Saccharomyces cerevisiae S288C: one gene and its partner. The protein of the gene in region 1 binds, or shares a complex with, the protein of each later gene. Each region holds a gene or a part of one and is shown on either strand. Other genes may lie near its edges. A codon is read from its position in the direction of its gene.

What was found.
Region 2: the proteins of KAP122 (region 1) and HYP2 are in contact, whole or in part, in a crystal structure (PDB 6Q84), measured with the Saccharomyces cerevisiae proteins. Residues at the interface, in NP_011499.1 of Saccharomyces cerevisiae: Leu312 (codon at 3,132), Thr440 (codon at 2,748), Asn441 (codon at 2,745), Leu442 (codon at 2,742), Ala443 (codon at 2,739), Ser444 (codon at 2,736), Leu447 (codon at 2,727), Ile452 (codon at 2,712), Trp506 (codon at 2,550), Ser507 (codon at 2,547), Leu509 (codon at 2,541), Gly510 (codon at 2,538), Asn511 (codon at 2,535), Asp512 (codon at 2,532), Asp557 (codon at 2,397), Met558 (codon at 2,394), Thr559 (codon at 2,391), Glu562 (codon at 2,382), Ser563 (codon at 2,379), Pro564 (codon at 2,376), Trp565 (codon at 2,373), Arg1018 (codon at 1,014), Arg1060 (codon at 888); in NP_010880.3 of Saccharomyces cerevisiae: Asn29 (codon at 1,169), Phe31 (codon at 1,163), Lys35 (codon at 1,151), Lys40 (codon at 1,136), Val42 (codon at 1,130), Asp43 (codon at 1,127), His58 (codon at 1,082), Val60 (codon at 1,076), Ile62 (codon at 1,070), Gly67 (codon at 1,055), Lys68 (codon at 1,052), Lys69 (codon at 1,049), Leu70 (codon at 1,046), Glu71 (codon at 1,043), Arg87 (codon at 995), Asp94 (codon at 974), Asp96 (codon at 968), Ile148 (codon at 812), Ser149 (codon at 809), Glu152 (codon at 800), Ala153 (codon at 797).

Annotation. Positions count from the first base shown.
Region 1 is NC_001139.9:459,932-465,730, reverse strand, and holds KAP122 (Kap122p), read right to left. Parts: upstream 4,066-5,799; coding exon 820-4,065; downstream 1-819. Other genes in the region: BIL2 (Bil2p), read left to right, coding at 296-688; ATE1 (arginyltransferase), read right to left, coding at 4,366-5,799.
Region 2 is NC_001137.3:83,932-86,928, reverse strand, and holds HYP2 (translation elongation factor eIF-5A), read right to left. Parts: upstream 1,254-2,997; coding exon 780-1,253; downstream 1-779. Other genes in the region: MTC7 (Mtc7p), read right to left, coding at 331-750; UTR5 (Utr5p), read left to right, coding at 1,384-1,884; ANP1 (Anp1p), read left to right, coding at 2,377-2,997. UniProt on the Saccharomyces cerevisiae protein: Translation factor that promotes translation elongation and termination, particularly upon ribosome stalling at specific amino acid sequence contexts.

The DNA of each region.
Region 1 (5,799 bases):
AGTGATTTGTTAAACAAGGTGCAACGAATAAGAATATAACTATACTATCTACTATATTGATCATTATTTTTTATTCTCTGGAGGACCCCAGAACAAAAAAAATATAGAAAAAAAACAATCGTCAAGAGTGACAAATACATGAGTAATAAGAAAAGGCGTCACAAATTAAAATTTGCAGTCACAAAGAGAAATAGACAGAGAATAGACTGTCTGGAATTAAGATGTCTTTTCTATCTGAGCTCCCAACAAGGCAACGGTATTGGACAGATATAATTCACAAATCACAATTCACTCCATGGAAGACACGATACGTCCATTAAATTACGCAGATATCGAGACCAGCGGGCCCATAAACCTTCTTGAGACAACTAATAACCTAAAAAGCTCGTTAAAAAAGTTTTCACAAAAGGCAAAGGGATCACACATTTCCAGAGAAAGGATTCACCATTTTAGAAAATGGAAAAATAAGACCGAATCACTTTCAGAAAACCATTTGAAGCCTCCTCCTGACGTCGACTCTCTATGTTTCAGTAACTGCTTTCAACCTGACGCCCTGTCTGGAAATGTATTTTTACCCCCCAGAAGCTCAAACATGTATTGGAATGAAAAGCAATTACAATTAGAAATGGAAATTCTAAAATTTTTATCACTAAATACTAGCAATGAATGCTGCACTTCTGATGATTAGCTTTTACACACATATATACTGCTACTATCTTTAAAGCACAAAAAAAAAATCTATCAAAAAGGATCAACGCATTACTAAATAAAATGTAACAAAGAATAGCCTTCACCCTCAGCGGAGAAATTCTTAACAAATCATCCTTGGTAATTTGGAAGTGTGGTACAATCCAACCACCACTGCAAAATAACATTTCCAGCTGCTCTGCTTCCTCTCGTAATAAGTAATTTATTAATAAATTTTTCATGACCTGCAGGATTGTTACATATTTGGGGCAAAACAGCAACGAGCCACTCTCTTGCTTCAATTGGAAACTTGGCTACCAAAGCTCTTAGCAGATCTGTGTAACTATTCAGATCGGACCTTTGTGTGTGGAATAAGCCATACATAATTTGGTACACAAGGTCTCCTCCTATAGAGGAAACTTGTTGCCTAACAGTTGTGAGTTCTTCTTGGTTGTATTTCTTATTATTGATCAACTTAGTCCAAAATTTTGCCACCGCAACAATTGTGAACTTTTCTCTTGAAGGTATTAATTTTAAAAATTGAGGTAAAATAAATGATGTCCAATGTTTACTGCCAATAGCTAAGCCTGGCTTCACGTCCAAAACGTTATTAACAAAACCTATTGTCATTTGTAAAAGGTCCGGATCATTGATAATATATGCATCATAATAGACTAGAAGGATCTTTTCAAACATGAAATCAAATTCTTGTGGTGTTAGTTCCTTCCTGAACTCTGAAATAAGCTTTTCTAATAAATAAACAAAATAAGGCAAGCAAGTAGCAAGCTCACAGTTGGGGACATGCCGCAAAACAAAATTCATAACTTCAGACATATTGTACTTGAGGAAGTACGGTTCCCCGTCGGGCAGATTTAATCCTTTACCAACAATCAAACAACCGATCTCCACAAAGGCGGAGTTTTTACAATATATTGAATTATCCAAGACCTTATCAATGGTGCACATAATTTTCGATCGGATTTGTAAGGGATCGCTGGACCAGAAACTTTGAAACTCAGATAACCTTTGTAGTAATGCATCATTTTCGATGATTTCAGTAGGTTGGATCAAACTTGTTGCTAGCTCAGATATACAGTATAATAGACAATTAATATAATCTTGTTGTTCTTGTAACTGTACCGATGAAGCCAAACAATGCTCTATTGAGCCGCTCAATAGGTTCGTCAATTGTAAAATATATTTAGCTTGCTCCTCTGGACCGTTGGAGACTTGACATTGAACGACATAACCTATAGATCTAACCAATTTAGTTCTAGTGAAATGTGAAACATTGGAGTCTGGCATAATGACTGTGTTTAAAAAGCTTATAAAATGCATCAAATATGGAGTCAACTCCTCACGGCATGTCTCACATAATGTTGAAACAGTCTTGATAACCATAACTTCAAGTTTATCGTTCGAAATTTTTTCTTGTTCGTTTTTACTAGTAAAATTGGTGCAAGTGTGCAAACCTTGAAATAAAGCTTCCACGTATGGGTTTAATTGAAAAGGTTCCTGTTTAAAATAACCAGCCAAAGTGCCGATTAAAGTTGTACTTGTTCTTACGAAGTCAAGTTTCAAAATTTGACTGACTTTTGTACTGGCACTAGTTTGGAAACCAGTTTGGAAGACGGATATGACATTTTGGTTGAAGAATTTGTTGGCATCAACGATATTTTTAATCCATGGGCTTTCTGATAGAGTCATATCAACCAATATAGTATTCAAAACAAAACACATCGTTTCAATTCGAAACAAAACATCAGTATCCTTGATGATGAGAGTCTCATCACTCGCAGCAGGCATTTGGCCCATACCATCAATTAGCACATTTGTTAAATTATCGTTTCCCAAAATAGACCAGAGAGATTGAGCAAGGTCACTGACAGCGTTTCTAAAATCTTCAAATTCGTTCACAGAAGTGCTCTCACCCTCTTCTTCAATTATTCTTTGTTTCACACTCAAAGAAATTTTGGGTAAATAAATATTGATCAACTGCTGAAAAATTTGTGTAGACAGCTCAATAGAATTTGGCCTCAAAGTTTCGCTAGCCAAATTAGTGTAAGCATCCGATAAATCCAACCAAAAATCAACCATTCTAACAGAAAAGAACTCTTGTAAGACAGGAGTTAAAGGGAAATTGGTCATTTGCAAAAGGACTTTGATGTATTCCTGAATATATTCATCTTGAACTTGACCATTATCAGCTGCTTGAATGTTAGTAAATAATTTATTACAAACACTTAACGTGTTAATTTGCAAGAAATCCACAATACAAATGGCCAATTCCTTCAATTCGGAAAAAAAATCATTGGTAACTAAATAATTCATATATTGTAGCATCCAAGAATTTTTGTTAGATATGTCGGTTATGCCAGAATCAGGCCTTACTACACCTAAGAAAATACACTCGATTTGTTGTCTCAAATCGTAACTCATTAATAATGGATCATTAGCAAAAACATTACCAAATATTGTTAGGATCTTTTCCGCATTCTCATAACCGTCCGATCCTTCTGTAGACTGATACATCAAGTCAATCAGGTTTTGAAAAATTTCCGACAAATCCATTCTACCACTTGAAGATACGCTTCTGGTTAATGAGATATAATTAATCCAAGCAGTAATACAATCAAATACGGTAGGATTGAAGACAGCTTGTGCAGTTAAGTTCAAGTTGATCAAAGCCATAGTTGAAATATATAAATGCTCATGGACTACTTCGTGGATTTGAGACATTGAATGCCTCTTTGTTTGGAACTTCGTCAAATCTTCCACAATAACTTCTGTAAACGTCAATGCCAGTTCATTATGTTTCTGAGATAGGCTAACAAATTGAGACAGTTGCTCGTATGTTAAGGAGCAGTTGATTGAGTCAAGCAACAGTTGGTCTGCATTAATGTTTTGATTTTGAACCGACATAAGTTGAATAAACGTATTTATGGGATTGTTCCATTGCTTAATCATATTTTCATTTCCAGCGTTATTAAGCTGCGGATCGTTGATTTTAGTGAAGATCAATGACAAGTTTGACATTAACTTTTTAATTATGATTAGAGATTGCCCGTACATATTAGGATTGGAAACGTACAATGTACTGAATTTCGTCAAGTACAATAAATTTGACCTGAAAACATTCCATAGGGTTTCATAATCGTTTTCACCCCGCGTATTTAGTTGCACAGTTAAAGTCAGTGCACCAAAGTACTTGACATTCGCAGAGTACTTGTCATCAGATAAAAGCTCATTAGCTAGGTGGAAGCCTTGCTCTGATTTCTGGATTGACTGTAAACTCTGTTGAATCTGATTAACATCATGTTTCGGATGAGGAGAGTACAGCTCTTCAATAAGAGCCACAACCTCGTGAATGGAGCTCATCAAAAACTAAGAATAAGAGACTAGTTACTATGGTATTCAAATCTGTGTTTAGCAATATCTATATGTTCTGAAGTTTTTAAGAACTGTTAGCAATACAGTGAAGTGCTACAAATAGTTCGAGCTTTTTCTCAAATTTTTCACGCGATGAGGAGACAAAAAAGCATCAGGTATTTAATGGATAAATCACCTCCAAAACTATTCCATCAACTATATAAAATTATCTCAGCGCGATGGTGAGAATGTTTGAATGCTAAAAAATGTTATACATTAGGATTGTTATTAGAATAGTGTGTTGAAGGCTCACATTTGCTCACTATATAAAATGACGGCTTTCATACAAGTTTCGAAGCCAAATAACCGTATCACGTCACAAATACGTTTCTTGACATTCGGAGGTTCGCTATAAAAGTTAATTAATGGTCGAATCCCCTCCGTTTCGATTTCGAAGAGAAATAGTCTTCCCTCCAGGTCAGTGATCTTGCCAGATTGCATAATGTCCAGCAATTCCCATAGCGGGAGTAATCCCGGCACCACATTAGGAATACCATTTGGAGCATGGCCATTGTGTTCTTTCAAATGGTAGATGGTATCTAAATCTTCCTCTTCGTACGGTATACCGTAAAGTTCTTTCAATTCCAATGCAGATTCATTTGCAGATTTAAACGCACACCCTCCCACACCGTATATTTCCTCAGCAATATTCTTGTACTTGACAACATTATCAGTGGGAAATCCCTCCCCTCTTCCGGTTTCAGAGTCAACGAGGTAGAGCTCCTTAGTAACTTTCGTCTCTTCTTCACCTATGACAAAGAGTTTGCCCCTAGAAATCATATCCTGAATGGGTTTCAATGGGATATATTTACTGTGACACACATCCAGTACTTCCGCACCATAGTTTGCTTTATAATTCATCTTCGGACAGTCCTCAATATAGTACCCCAGGTAATAGTATTGCAGATTTGTCCTTTGAATGATGGCAAGATCGCGCAAAGCACTGAGCTTCCCTAGGGACCATTTACTGTAGTCTGGATCCCAAATAAAATATACCGAAGATATACCACTGGGCAAGATATCTGACACAGTGATGGCAATTAATTTACCCTCATAGTAGTAGCATTCGTGCACAGGACCCATATGCTTCAGTTTCTCGCCTGGCTTCATTCGCTGCCAATTGTTTAACTGCTCCCATGATTCTTGTGTCCCCAACACCGCTTCAGGGCCAAAGGGCGTATCACATAGGAATCGCTTAAAGGACTTCGGCGAATTATTGTAGTCTTGATGCACTTTTTCCTGATATTTGACAAATAAGTGATACTTTTCTTCACTATAAAGTGCAGGCTCAAATCGGGTATAGAATGTTTTAGAATTCATCTCTGCATTAACAATTTTGCCCACAAAATCACTGCTTGCAACAGCGGCTGGGCAGTAGTCCTCACTTGTTATTCTAGTAGCAAAGCGGCTGATGCATTTTTTCAATTCCTTTGTCATATTCAATTCTTGAGGGGCAGTTCGAATGGTGTATAACCTACAACAATTCCTCAACGGGTCCACTTTATAAAGAAACTTACCAGACCTTCTAAATCCCATATTACACATGCGATCATACGTGGCTACATCCATATGTTCCACGAAAGAGCCAATTGTGCAGTTTTCAATCTTTACAACGTCCATTTTGTTCATATAACGATGAGCCCACGAATCCAATGCGAACAACTGATCCATGTTGCCCCCCTT
Region 2 (2,997 bases), on another chromosome or scaffold:
TTTGTATCTTTTTGGTGCGCTTATAGTGGAGTTCAATACGAGCAGTAGGATGAAAATGCTTCAAGGAAAAGAGCGTAGGCCTTTTCAACTTGAAAGAAGATTAAGAACCTATCTTTCGAGTTTTGACCAAATTTTTCTTTTTTTTCCTAAAACACGAGTTTTTACCCATTTAGGAAAAGTAATTGTTTCTTCTACCGCCTCGATCTGACGAACAAGGGAAATTGAAAAAAAAGAGAAAAATAACGACAACTGCAGGACTCGAACCTGCGCGGGCAAAGCCCAAAAGATTTCTAATCTTTCGCCTTAACCACTCGGCCAAGTTGCCATAACTCATTGAAAATTCTGTTTCCCACATAGGTCAAAACTAATATTTCCCTTGGCCTGCTCTTCAACCTCCCCCGTTCTGAGAGTTCCCTTTTTTTTTTTTTTTTTTTTTTTTTGAGGGGGAAGCGCCGGATTTGCCACCGACCGGCTGCTTGCAGCCGGTAGATATGCGCACATGAAAATCATCCTCCCCAATGAATTACACTGCCTGCATAAGGAAAAAGAAAAGTGTGAAATACGAATAAAAACAAAGTATATTATTGCTATATAGATGATAAATAACAAAATAAATAGAAAATAAAAAAAAGGATTTATTTGTGTATGCTTTAGGAGAACGAAAAAAAAATTGCAAAGAAAAAAACCCGGTTCAGCGAAGAGTACATGATGTGATGGAAGGGGCGTCGGAGTTTTTTTTTCTTTTTTCATTTATATCCCATGCCATGATGTTAACCGGTTTAATCGGTTCTAGCAGCTTCCTTGAAGGAGATGGCGGCTTCTTCACCCATAGCGGAGATGATGGTAACCATCAAGTCCTTACCTTCATCAAAAGCAGTTTGCAAACTGTCACCCAATTCACCTTCTGGAGCCTTGACATCATCCTTAGTGTCACCGTCCATGTTCATCAAAGACAAGAAACCGTCATCAATGTCCAACAATTGGTATTCGTTTCTCTTGACAACTGGAACTTCCATGTTGTGAGTAGATGGAGACAAATCTTCCAACTTCTTACCAGTGAAGATATCAATGGCAACCAAATGGACTTTAGCGTGACCGTGCTTACCAGTCTTAGAAGTGGACATGTCGACAATCTTACATGGTCTACTCTTGATGACAACGAAACCGTTCTTTCTCAAGGCAGAACATTGCATTGGGTAGGTGGCGGAGGAACCAGCGTCAGCAGTTTCAAAGGTATGTTCTTCGTCAGACATTGTATATATGAGTTGGTATTTGTGTGTGTTTGGGAGTCTATGAGTAATTGGCTACAGAAGTAGAATCGTTAGAAAGAAGGAAAGGAAGCAATTGATAGAAGGAGAGGAATTTAGGAAATGAGGGATTCCAATGTCAAGATATGGCAAAAACCTTGTGCATTATATAATCGTGGAACACGACGATCAACGCGGCCAAAAGCCGATCGACGACGACGACGAAAAAAATTTTTATTACCACTGTTCCTTCACCTTCGAAACTTTTTTTCGGGCGACGGCGTTTCTTTTAGCTCCTGCGGTATGTGCGGTGCGGGAGGTCCCTTGTCGCCTCACACGGACCCGATATAACGCTACGGAATACATCGAGGGGTATGGGTGGATGATATCACTGCAGCAAGGTCTGGGTGTTGCAGAATTTTACCGGCCTTGGCCCCTCAGCGTCCAGCTACAGCGTTATACTACTCCAAGTCGCCGTTCCCGTTTTGCTGTTCTCACCCCTCAGAGAAAATGCCACCAGAACGAAGCCAATGGTCAGGACTTATCGTTACTTATACTGTTGAGCCGGATATATCCGCTGTGCTCTAATACCAGCCAAACGAGAAGGGTAGCGGCAAGAAAGGGTAAACTTTCATGATGAAGTTAGCTAGTTCCTTTTACGATTGCTACTATCTCGTTCAACTTGGCCTGCGCTGTTGATGAAAATAGCAGTGACTGCAGAGAATAGAAATGAACCGGGCTCATCTGGTCTAGTTGCCTTCTTTTTTTTATTTTTTTTCATTTTCCTTTTCTTTTCTTTTCTTTTCTTGTCTCACTATGTTGGTTTAATCAATTCGTAATCCCTTTACCAACGCATTGTGTTCAATTTTCCTCTTGTGTGGGGTCGCCCGCCTTGTCTCATCGTGAAAAAATTGCGTAAGATGAAATCATGAAAACATGAAATAAAAAAAATAAATAAAAATAACTACACGATTCAAAAACGCCAAGATCTGTTAGTAGAGACAGCAAGCATTGCAAAACCATTCATCACTCAGTTGCTAGGCGAGTGTTGGTGCGATTTACCCTCATCATCTTTTTTTCGCTCCATTAAACAGTTCCTTGTGGCTTTCATGCAAAGTGTACGTCCATAATGAAGTATAATAACAGAAAACTCTCGTTCAACCCTACCACAGTAAGTATCGCTGGAACGTTGCTTACGGTGTTCTTTCTCACAAGACTCGTGCTTTCGTTCTTCTCGATATCGCTATTCCAGCTGGTAACTTTCCAAGGAATCTTCAAGCCCTATGTTCCAGATTTTAAAAATACTCCCAGCGTAGAGTTCTACGACCTACGAAATTACCAAGGCAACAAAGATGGTTGGCAACAGGGTGACCGCATCTTGTTTTGCGTGCCACTGAGAGATGCTTCTGAGCATCTTCCCATGTTTTTTAACCATCTGAATACCATGACATATCCGCACAACCTGATTGATCTGTCGTTTTTGGTGAGTGACTCTTCGGATAACACCATGGGCGTGTTACTATCCAATCTACAGATGGCGCAATCGCAACAAGACAAGTCCAAAAGGTTTGGTAACATCGAAATCTATGAGAAGGACTTCGGCCAAATCATTGGTCAGTCCTTTTCTGATCGTCACGGGTTTGGCGCCCAGGGCCCCAGAAGAAAGCTGATGGCCAGGGCTCGTAATTGGCTTGGGTCCGTGGCCCTGAAACCATACCACTCCTGGGTTTACTGGAGAGACGTGGATGTC